Oryctolagus cuniculus: one gene and its partner. The protein of the gene in region 2 interacts with the protein of the main gene of each other region in a biochemical or structural test. Links are inferred from orthologs where the notes say so. Each region holds a gene or a part of one and is shown on either strand. Other genes may lie near its edges.

Region 1 (5,506 bases), on a different chromosome or scaffold from region 2:
GCATGGGAGACCAGGAGGAGGCACCTAGCTCTTGGCTTCGGATCGGCACAGCGCGCCAGCCATAGCGGCCATTTGGGGGGTGAACCAATGGAAGGAAGACCTTTCTCTCTGTCTCTCTTTCTCTCACTGTCTAACTGCCTGTCAAAAAAACAAAACAAAACAAACAAACAAACAAACAAAAAAAAAAACAAAAAAAAAACACCTCAGTATTGTCAGCTTACTGTATCTCTAGGTTTTGCATCCAGATTCAAGCATTTAAGCATTTATGGTTCAAAAATTCTCAAAAAAAAAAAAAAAGAAAGAAAGAAACTGTGTCTATTCTGAACACATACAGCCTTTCTTATCATTACTCCCTAAACAATACAGTGTAACAACTATTTACATTGTATTAGGTATTCTAATTAATTTAAAATGCATATTTATTTTTACTTCATTTGAAAGGTAGTGAGACAGAGAGACCTTCCACCTGCTGGTTCACTCCAAAATGTCTGCAAAGGCCAGGGTTGGACTAGGCTGAAGTCAAGAGCCTGGAGTTCAATCCAGGTCCCACAAGGGTGGCAGGGACCAAAGTACTTGAACCATTATTGCTGCTTCCCAGGGTGTACATCAGCAGGAAGCTGGATCACAAGCAGGGAAGCCAAGACTTGAACGAGGTACTCTGATATGGGATGCAGGTGCCCTAAAACACTGTGACAAATGCCTGGCCTGATTTAGAAATGACTTAAGGTTTATGACAGTGTATGTACAGATTACAGGCATATACTACACCCATAAAAGGCCCTTGAGCATCCATGGACGAGCTCCTAGAACCAATCCCCTAGATACTGAGGGATGATTACAGAAACAAAATTAAGTACATCCAAGTTGATCTAAATAAATCAATTTTTGCTGTAGATTATAAAGCATGCAAAATGGCATCACGATACTAATCTCTTTAGCTGATAAATTCTGATTTTTTTCTAAACAAAGTTTCATACGACTATAAATAACTATCTTAATCTATAGGGGAAAATTCAAAGACTTGTAGATATAACGAGGAGTAAAATTTAGTTTAACATGAAAATAATTTAAGTCTAGGCCTTAAGCGTGTAACAATAAATATTACAAATATTTGTGTTTTATCAGTCTCATAAGTTTTGTACTACCTTATTGGAAAATTCATATAATCTGTGATGGTGGGGGCTGGCACTGTGGCTTAGCAGGCAAAGTCACTGCCTGCAGTGCTGGCATCCCATATGGGCACCAGTTCAAGTCCCAGCTACTCCACTTCCAAACCAGCTTTCTGCTATGGCCTGGGAAAGCAGTAGAAGACGGCCCAAGTGCTTGGGCCCCTGCACCCACATGGGAGACCCAGAGGAAGCTCCTGGCTCTTGGCTTTGGATCAGCACAGCTCCAGTCGTTGCGGGCATCTGGGGGAGTGAACCAGTGGATGGAAGACTGCTCTTTCTCTTCCTCTGCCTCTCTGTAACTCTGTCTTTCAAATAAATAAATGAATAAATAAATCTTTAAAAAAAATTGTGATGTGAACACTTGGCTCTGGTCCAAACTTTCTCAAGTAAACCAAAGCTTATTATAAAATATTAATAAAAATATTCTATAATCCCATGTTATAGCTGGAAGATTTAGAAGCACAGACACTTTAAAGACAGGCACAGAGAACAGCAACCTGTCCTCTTCAACACATTTATTTTCTGTTCCATTTACTATTCCACTGCTCAATGTCTTTAATTTTATTTCCTGATTAAGCATCTTTCTAAGGTTATTCTACTCAAACATTTTTTAAAAGGCTAAAAGAGGGCCGGCGCCATGGCTCACTAGGCTAATCCTCCGCCTTTCGGCGCCGGCACACTGGGTTCTAGTCCCGGTCGGGGCGCCGGATTCTGTCCCGGTTGCCCCTCTTCCAGGCCAGCTCTCTGCTGTGGCCAGGGAGTGCAGTGGAGGATGGCCCAGGTGCTTGGGCCAGGCACCCCATGGGAGACCAGGAGAAGTACCTGCCTCCTGGCTTCGGATCAGCGCAGTGCGCCGGCCGCAGCGCGCCGGCTGCAGTGGCCATTGGAGGGTGAACCAGCGGCAAAAAGGAAGACCTTTCTCTCTGTCTCTCTCTCTCCCTGTCAACTCTGCCTATCAAAAATAAAAAAATAAATAAATAAAAATAAATTAAAAAAAATGGTGAAAAAGGCTATAAGAAAGAGGGCATACAATCCAAAACCTGAGAATATTTTTACAAACTATAAGCCTCTCAGAAAAGAAATAAAGAAAAAAAAAAAAAAGCTGGTTCTCAGTGTACTTCATTTTTGTTAAGTAAATATACATTTTTTAAAGATTTACTTTATTTATTTGAAAGACAGTTACAGAGAGAGGTAGAATGAGAGCAAGAAAGAGAGAAAGAGAAAGAAAAAGGTCTTCCATCCACTGGTTCACTCCCCAAATGGCCATGACAACAGAGCTGAGCCAATCTGAAGCCAGGAGCCAGGAGCTTCTTCCAGGTCTCCCATGTGGGTGCAGGGACCAAGTACTTGGCCCATCTTCTGCTTTCCCAGGCGCATTAGCAGGAAGCCAGATCGGAAGCAGAGCAAGGACGCCAGCACTGCAACCCTGGGATTTAACCTGCTGTACCACAACACTGGCCACACTAGCTATATATTTTTAGAGATATTTATTGTTTGAAAGCAAAGGAATTGTTCTCACAACCTCTTAAACCTGCATGTTTCATATCTCTGTAGGGACGATCCAAATTCCCTAAGTCCCACACCCCAGACACTTTAATTCAGTAGATTTGGAGTAGGTACAAGAGTATATATTTTCAAGGATCCTTTGGTAATTCTGCCAGGCTTTTTAAAGTCCTTGGTTCCCTTTGGCCTTAATATATGTGCTGGATCATCCTTTCTTTCATTCATTTTCTCATAGGCAGTAATTTAACTACAGCAAGATAATAAAATCCAGGAGACTGATGTAACAGAACAGGAATGGGAGTGACAAGGTAGAATGAGGAGAAAGGAAGTTTTCACTGAATAGTTTCCCTACATAATTTGAATTTATAATAACATTTAAAAAGCTTTTTTTAAAAAAAAACTGATTAGAGCAAATATGTAAAAGTATATAAAAAAGTATATGTTTTATCATCTTTCAATTCATTTTCTCATAGCAGTAATTTAACTACAGCAAGTTAATAATATCCAAGTTGAACACATTACTTAAGAATATGTACTCTACTTTCAAATAGTGATTTATATCAATACAATGGAATGATATTCTACTCTTAAAAAAAGAATTAGACTACATGTGAAAAGTCTCTGAACAAACACAAGGAGCAAAATAGTATGATTTAATCCTTTCTAAGTGAATAAGGGAAAAAGTTTTAAGAATCTGTTACCAATGGCTGCCTTTCAAACAGACTCATGTAATGGAACAGGAATGCGAGTGGAGAGGTGGAATGGGGAGAAAGGAAACTCATTTTTCACTGAACAGCTTTTCTATAAAATTTGAATTCAATAATAACATATTTAAAAAGCTTTTTAAGTTCTCTCTTAAAACTTACAATATCAATGCTTAGCCGTCTTGCCAGTTTCTCGTCGTTTTGCAGTTGTTCTTCCATCTCTCTTCGCCTTTTTTCTGCTTGTCTCTTTTCTTCTTCTTCCTCCTCAGCCAGTAATTTCTGTATGTATTCCTCACTGGCTTTGTTTTCTTCTTCCTCACTGGCTCGTCGCTCTGCTTCCACCTCAAAAAGCATTAATACAGAACAATATTTCCCTGAACTTTTAATTTTTTAATAGAAAATTTTTATTTAATAAATATGAATTTCAAAAGTACAACTTTTGGACTATGGCGGTTCTTCCCCCCATAAACACCCTCCCACCCGCAAACCATCCCACCTCCGACTCCCTCTCCCATCCCATTCTTCATTAAGATTCATTTTTTTTTAAAGGCAGAGTTAGACAGTGAGAGAGACAAAGGTTCACCCCCCAAATGGCCGCTACGGCCAGCGCTGTGCTGATCCGAAGCCAGGAGCCAGGTACTTCCTCCTGGTCTCCCATGCAGGTGCAGGGCTCAAGCACTTCGGCCATCCTCCACTGCCCTCCTGGGCCACAGCAGAGAGCTGGACTGGAAGAGGAGCAACCGGGACAGAATCCGGCGCCCCAACCAGGACTAGAACCTGAGTGCCAGCGCCGCAGGCGGAGGATTAGCCTAGTGAGCTACGGCGCCGGCCAAGATTCATTTTTAATTATCTTTATATACAACAGATCAACTCTATACTAAGTAAAGATTTCAACAGTTTACACCCACACAGACACACAAAGTATAAAATACTGCTTGAAGATTAGTTTTACCATTAATTCTCATAGTACAGTACATTAAGGACAGAGATCCTATATGGGGAGTTAAGTGCACAGTGACTTCTGTTGTTGATTTAACAACTGACACTCTTATTTATAATGTCAGTGATCACCCGAGGCTCTTGTCATGAGCTGTCAAGGCTATGGAAGTCTCTTGAGTTCACAATCTCTGATCTTATATACACAAGGCCACAGTCAAAGTGGAAGTTCTCTCCTCCCTTCAGAGAAAGGTACCTCCTTCTTTGATGGCCCTTTCTTTCCACTGAGATCTCACTCACAGAGATCTTTCACGTAGGTCATTTTTTGCCGCAGTGTCTTGGCTTTCCATGCCTGAGATACTCTCATGGGCTGTTTAGCCAGATCCGAATGCCTTAAGGGCTGATTCTGAGGCAAGGGTGCTGGTTAGGGCATTTGTCATTCTATGAGTCTGCTGTGTATCCTGCTTCCCATGTTGGATCTTTCCCTGCTTTTTAATTATATCAATTATTATTAGCAGACACTGGTCTTATTTATGTGATCCCTTTGACACTTAATCCTATCTTTATGATCAGTTATGAACTTAAAAGCTTTACCCTTAGGGGTAAGTCTGAGAGAGTGTGCGCCGAACTGTATATCTCCTCCCTCTCTTATTCCCACTCTTATTTTTAGCAGGAATCAAGGGCTGGCGCCGTGGCTCAATAGGCTAATCCTCCACCTAGCAGCGCCAGCACACCAGGTTCTAGTCCCGTTCGGGGCACCGGATTCTTTCCCGGTTGCCCCTCTTCCAGGCCAGCTCTCTGCTGTGGCCCAGAAAGGCAGTGGAGGATGGCCCAAGTGCTTGGGCCCTGCACCCCATGGGAGACCTGGAGAAGCACGTGGCTCCTGCCATCGGATCAGCGCGGTGCGTTGGCTGCGGCACACCGGCCGCGGCAGCCACTGGAGGGCGAACCAACGGCAAAAGGAAGACCTTTCTCTCTGTCTCTCTCTCTCTCACTCTCTCACTATCCACTCTGCCTGTCAAAAAAAAAAAAAAAAAAAAAAAAAAAAAACAGGAATCAAGATCAATTTTCAGTTGGGTTTAAACACCTAAGAATAATTGTGTGTTAATTAAAGAGTTCAACCAATGATATTAAGTAGAAAAACAAAATAATACAAAGAACAAAATAGTAGGCTTGAACTTTTAATTTTTTTTT
Region 2 (6,230 bases):
ATGTGATTTTTCTTCGAAAAATTTTATTAGAGCCTAGAAGTAGCAGTTCATTACATCTAAAGCTGAGAGGGTACTTAAGTAAAATTCTTCAGAGAAAGATAATCAGGAAAGCCCACTGACCAAGGTAATTTTATAAGCCAAGCAAGTCTTCTGGGGATTCCAATGTAGCTCCATTACTAGGACTTGAGGGTAAGATAGGACTGGTTCTACCTATACCTGGTGTATCTGCCAATCAACTTAAAATTAGTATCATACAAAAAGTTTGAAAACAATTAAGTCCACTTTGCTTTCAGAATCTTTTTGACTGGTACAGCATAAATAAATCTCATTTCTCTAATTCTTGATAGTCTCACAGAAGGTGTCAAACTTTGAAGATGGCTCTAGATTATAAACCAGGGGGGAGGGGCTGGCACTGTGGTGCAGTGGGTTGACACCCTGGCCTGAAGTGTTAGCGTCCCATATGGGCGCCGGTTCAAGACCCGGCTGCTCCACTTCCCATCCGGCTTTCTGCTGTGGCCTGGGAAAGCAGTAGAGGATGGCCCAACTCCTTGGGCCCCTGCACCCACGTGGGAGACCCAGAAGGGGCTCCTGGCTCCTGGCTTCGGATCGGCACAGTTCTGGCCGTTGCAGCCAACTGGAGAGTGAACCAGCAGATGGAAGACCTCTCTCTCTGCCTCTCCTCTCTGTGTAACTCTGACTTTCAAATAAATAAATAAATCTTTAAAAAAAAAATAAAAAATAATAAAAAAAAAACCAGGGGGGGAAAAAGAGGTTAATGCTGAGATTTGAAAGTTCAAATTATCATTTTCAAACTTGTTTTTACTAAAAAAAAATTTTTTAAGGGTATATTTTAGAAAAAGACAATTCTAGAAAATAGATAGTAACTCAAAAGAAATCTTATTAGTGGGTACAAGTATTACTAGATTAAAATATGTATTGTGAATCAAAGTGCTATTTTCTTCTCCAAAGCAGTTATCCATAACACAATATATCAATGCACAGATTAAATGCTACATTTCTGGATCTGTGAAGTACTATACACTGTACTCACAATCCTCTTTAGGTTTTAAAATAAGAGCATTCTTCTACAGAAATAAAACCAAGTGTCAACTCAGGTTGATAACTTCCCCACTAAACTCTGTTAGAACCTAATAACTTCTAGAAGTCTTAAAATACTTATTCACAAACATTTCACTTGGGAGAACATTCCTCAGTGTGCTCCTGCTTTTAACTCCCAAGACCTTACTTTAAGTTCAAGTTTCTTTTAACAAACACTTCATTCTATTACAAGATTTACTTTATCTAAAGTCTGCTCTTTATCATTTGCTTTAAATTCAAAAATGTCGCTAATGATCTAATCTAATTTATAGAAAACAATGTTGGGCTGGCATCGTGTCATAGTAGGTAAAGCCGCCGCCTGCAGTGCCAGCATCCCACATGGGTGCCGTGGTTTGAGTCCTGGCTGCTCCTCTTCCGATCCAGCTCTCTGCTATGACCTGAGAACACAGTACAAGATGGCCTGAGTCCTTGGGCCCCTGCACCCATGTGGGAGATCCGGAAGAAGCTCCTGGCTCTTGGCTTCAGATCGGCGCAGCTCCAGCCGTTGCAGCCATTTGGGGAGCGAACCAACAGATGAAGACCTCTCTCTCTCTGCCTCTCCTTCTCTCTGTGTAACTCTTTCAAACAAGTAAATAAATATTTTAAAAAATATAATTTCACAATAAAAGTCTCCAATCTTTAATGAAATGCAATGAAGATCAATGCCTGAACTGAGGTGTTTAAATCATCAACCTGCATTCTTAGTTTAAGGCAAGACGAAAACTGGTTCTCTCCCTTTTGCATGCTCATCACCACCATTCAGGACTCAGGATCCCAGCACCTACTTCTCCCTAAGCAGCTGCAGGTTAATATAGCCAATCTGACTAGCCAAGTGGAACACCCAAAGAAATGTCAGTGGTGCCTCCTCACTTCTAAGGAAAAAAACAAAAACAATAGTAAGCTGCATTGACAGCTTCCAATATCGGGTGAAGGCTATGGTTCCAGCCAAGGATCAGGAAAACCTCCTTCCAAATAACGCAATTAATAAACATTCCTTTTAAGGAGCAAAGTCCTTTCTAACAGAAAACCTAGTAAAACTCCTCCTAAAAAGGATTTCCTAAAAGTATCGCCTAATTTCAACCTCAAAGCCCATTTTGCGAAGAGACTGCGGAAAGCAATCTTTCTGAAATTTCTCCTGTGGTTGCCTATGGTCAGATTTCTGAAACGACTGGTTGCTACCCTTGCAGGGTAATCGTTTATCTAGCAGACCAATTCGCAAAACTCAAGGGCCAGTGGCCGACTACATATGGGAATCTCAAAGCAATAAACCGCCTTCTGCTTTTACTTCCCTCCTTCCTCATCAGGGTCAGCTTTTCCTTCCGAACTTTGTGCTCTCTGTTTCTGGACAAGCAGGATGGACCCAAGCATGCAGCCGCCCAAGAGGTAAGTGAACTCAAGAACTACTTGAGGGCCGGGCAAAAAGGCTTCCTCCAGCGGCCCGAGATAGGGGCCCCGAGCTCCGGGGCTTCTGCGAAGGCAACTGGGGCAGGCGGGGTGCGGAGTGGGCAGAGACCGGGCGCGCCCGGACAGCCCAACGCCCAGCCTTCCCACCCCCCACCCCGGCCTGGCCGGACAATGGCCCTCGACTCAGCAGTACCAGGCTGGACGGAGGCCCTGGGACTCAACACCTCGCGGGCCGGGAAAAGCGGCCGGGGAGGCGCGCTGAGGGGGCGAGGGCACCTCCGACCTCAGCGCAGGCTGCGCGCCGGGGCCTCCACGGGCGCCATCACTGGGAGTGGGGTGTGCAGGCCGCCCCGCGGGGCCGGCGCCCGCAGCCGACCGGGATCCAGGGACCGCAAGCCCGGCGGAGGCGACGGCGGGAAGTGCAGGCCGCAGGCTGCTCTGCCGGCCCGCGCCCGGCGCCCCGCGCCCCGCAGCCGACCCCGGGTGGCTTACCTTGTGGATTCTCTTCAGAGCCATGGTGGGAGGCGGGTGGCGGCGGCCCCCCGGGCAGGGGAGGGACGGGGAAGGGACGAGGGGGGCTGAGGCCGCCTCGGGATCGCGGGTCGGCAGAAGAGGACGGGGAGGTGGGGGACGCGGGTCCGACGGGACAGGCTGAGGGCCGGGGCCCACTCAGCGCCTGGGCCTGCCGCAGCGGTCACCGCATCACCCGGCGGCGGCCCCTTTATGCGCTGCCGCCCCAGCCGCCGCCGCCGCCGCCGCCGCCGTAGCTGCCTCTTCCTCCCAGGCTCAGCGCCGCCTCCTCAGCCGCCACGGATCCCTCCGCCGGGGAGCAAGCGCCCAAGCCTCGGGCTCGGCGGGCGCCTCTCGGTCGAACAGCCGGAGGGACTGCCGGCCTTCCTGCGGGCTGCAGGTGGACCGAGGGACGCGCGGGCGGGCGGGCGGCGCCGCCGGGGTGGGGCCGCCGAGCGCGGGGTGGGCCCAGGCCGAGGGGCAGGCCGGGAGGCGCGGGGATTGGCGGGCCAGCGCAGGGAGGGCCGGGCCGCGCCGGCGGCGGAGGGATACGTGCCGCCCCTGTGAGGCTCGTACGCGCCGTCGCTGTCGCCGCCGCGGCCGCCGAGGGGATGACGCTGCGAAGCGCTGGGAGATCTCGCGAGAGGCGAGGCGCGGGTTCTGGTCGCTCCCGCGCGGCGCCCCTCGGATCCTTTGCGTGTCGTACCCCCCAGCGCGTGTAGTTGAAGCTCGATAAGCACGTGAAAGCAGAGGCTTTGTAGGTCGCTAGCCCGTTCCCGCGTTAGTCCCCCGAGCGGGCACTTGGCACGTTGCAAAGTCCCTGCAAGGCGGAAGGGACTTGTCCAAGGTCAAACAGCTCTTCAGCGGCCGGACTCGGACTTATCTGAAGTCTTGGGGTCTGCACGGGCCACTTGGCCGCAGCTTTGTGGCGGCAGTCGGCACCCGCCGGGATCGGGGGTATCCTCCCCGAGATTGCCCTTCGCCACGAGGGCCCGGGCGGGAGAGGGCATGTCAGCGTTAGGGGAGGTGCTTGGTGCAGTTACCTCGAATACGCGGTGCCCCGTAGTTAAATCCAGCGTCCTGCGCCTGCTAGCAGGCGAACGTGGAATGTGGGAAGTGGTTTTTCAGGGGCTGAAAGCAGAGCGCTAGCTCAGCACCTTGTCTGTTGAGCCCTCCACCAGGACCAGAATAACGTAGTGCACGGCCCAGCCTGGGCCAGGCAGTGTTCGTGATCTAGCTGGAGACTAGCGGGAGGTAGCCAGGAATATTTTGCTGGGAGAAAATGCCCATATTCTCACATTCACCCGCAGGGTTTGTGATTCAAATGCTGCCTCCTTTACATCTGAAAGAGACCGATTCTAACTCCTGAAATTAGAAGGTAAACACTGGGGCCCGCTGAGTCCCACGGTGCAGGAGTGGGGAGCCGCCTGGGTTGTATCCTCAGGGCAGAGCCCCCGCGGCCCCGTGAAGAACCGTTATCCAGCTGTCCAGAGTGGATGTGTTTTGAGTTTCGAGCTGAAGAGGAACATTGTACAGCCCCAGATCTTTTCTTGCTAAGAAATCTGAGAGAGGTACAAAATAACCACTGGGCAGGTTTTTAAGAATGTTTTCAACCGCCACGTGCTTGGGCCCCTGCCACCCGCGTGGGAGACCTGGAAGAACCTCCTTGGCTTTCGGCTTAGGCCTGGACCGGCACCGGTCCTCGGCAGCCATTAGTGAAGTGAACCAGCAGATGGAAAATTTTCTCTCTCTCTCCTATCCCCACCCAATTCTTCCTTTCAAATAGATAAATCTTTAACAAATTTTTTTTCTCCATAACTGTATATTAGAAAAGTAATATGCATTTGTTGCAAGAAATAGAGACATGTGGGGGCCAGCGCGGGTCTTCCTTCCATTGGTTCACCCCCCAAATGGTCGCCACGGCTGGCGCTGTGCCAATCCGAAGCCAGGAGCCAGGTGCTTCTTCCTGGTCTCCCATGCCAGTGCAGGGCCCAAGCACTTAGGCCATCCTCCACTGCCCTCCTGGGCCATAGCAGAGAACTGGACTGGAAGAGGAGAAACCGGGACTAGAACCCAGCTCCCATATGGGATGCCTGCACCACAGGTGGAAGATTAGCTAAGTGAGCCACAGCGTCGGCCCCAATAAATAAATATTTCAAAAAAAAAAAAAAAGTACCATATTAACTGGTCACACATTGGGAGACATTTAAATTGTTTCCGATTTTTTAATTTTTATGGTTATTTTATTTACTTGAAAAGTAGAGCAACAGCTAGCTCTTCCGTTGGCTGATCCACTCCCAGAGTGCTGACAACAGCTGGGACAGGACCAGACCCGAGCCAGGAGCCCAGAATTCCATCTTGCCTTCCAGCCGGGGTGGCAAGGACTCACGTCCTTGAGCCATCATCTGCCACCTCTGAGGATGTACATCCACAGGAAACTGTGTTGGAATCAGAGTAGCCAGACTCACCAGGCACCTCAGTATGGGATGCGGGCATCCTAAGCAGCGGCTTAACCCACTGCAGCACAACACCTGTTCCGCATTTACAGTTTTTACAATTTGAAAATAATGTGGAGCAGGCGTTTGGCACAGCACTTGCTCTTGGGATGCCCACATCTCTCATAGAAATACCTGGGTTCATGTCCTGCCTCTGCTTGCATCCAGCTTCTTGGAAGACAGCAGATGATGGTTCAAGTACTTGGGTCCCTGCCACCCATGTGGGACACCCAAACTGAGTTCCAGGCTCCTGGCTCCCACTTGATCCAGCCCTAGCTGTTAACAGGTATTTGGAGAGTGAATCAGCAGATGGAAGGTCTCTCTCTCTCTCTCTCTCTCTCTCTGCCTTTCAAGTAAAATGAAAATAAATTAATACTTTATAAAATAACAAAGTAATCCTGTGGTGACTATCTTGTAACAGCTCTAAGAGTACTTCTTTAGGAAAAACTACTACAAATGAAATGCTACACCAAAGGGCATGCAGATTTTTACATCTATGTTCATGAGGGCTATTGGTTTATAATTTTGTTGTAATATTTTTATCACGTTTTTATATCAAGGTTATACTGGCCTCATAAGATAAATTGGGAAGTGTTCTTTCCTCTGTGTTCTGAAAGAGTTTATTTAGGATTGCTATTTTTTTCTTCCTTAAATAAATATTTGGTAGAATTCACCAGTGAAGCCATCTGGCCATGGAGTTTTCTTTGGGGGAAAGAGTTTAAT

The links.
Region 1: the proteins of UBE2D2 (region 2) and RNF168 form a complex in vitro, tested with the Homo sapiens proteins (3 studies listed by BioGRID). The link is inferred for Oryctolagus cuniculus from reciprocal best matches to the Homo sapiens genes UBE2D2 and RNF168.

The regions. Positions count from the first base shown.
Region 1 is NC_091435.1:83,002,214-83,007,719, forward strand, and holds part of RNF168 (E3 ubiquitin-protein ligase RNF168), read right to left. Parts: intron 3,719-5,506; coding exon 3,539-3,718; intron 1-3,538. UniProt on the Homo sapiens protein: E3 ubiquitin-protein ligase required for accumulation of repair proteins to sites of DNA damage. Acts with UBE2N/UBC13 to amplify the RNF8-dependent histone ubiquitination.
Region 2 is NC_091437.1:27,257,667-27,263,896, reverse strand, and holds the start of UBE2D2 (ubiquitin-conjugating enzyme E2 D2), read right to left. Parts: upstream 3,486-6,230; 5' UTR 3,019-3,485; coding exon 2,995-3,018; intron 2,482-2,994; exon of another isoform or gene 1,963-2,481; intron 1-1,962.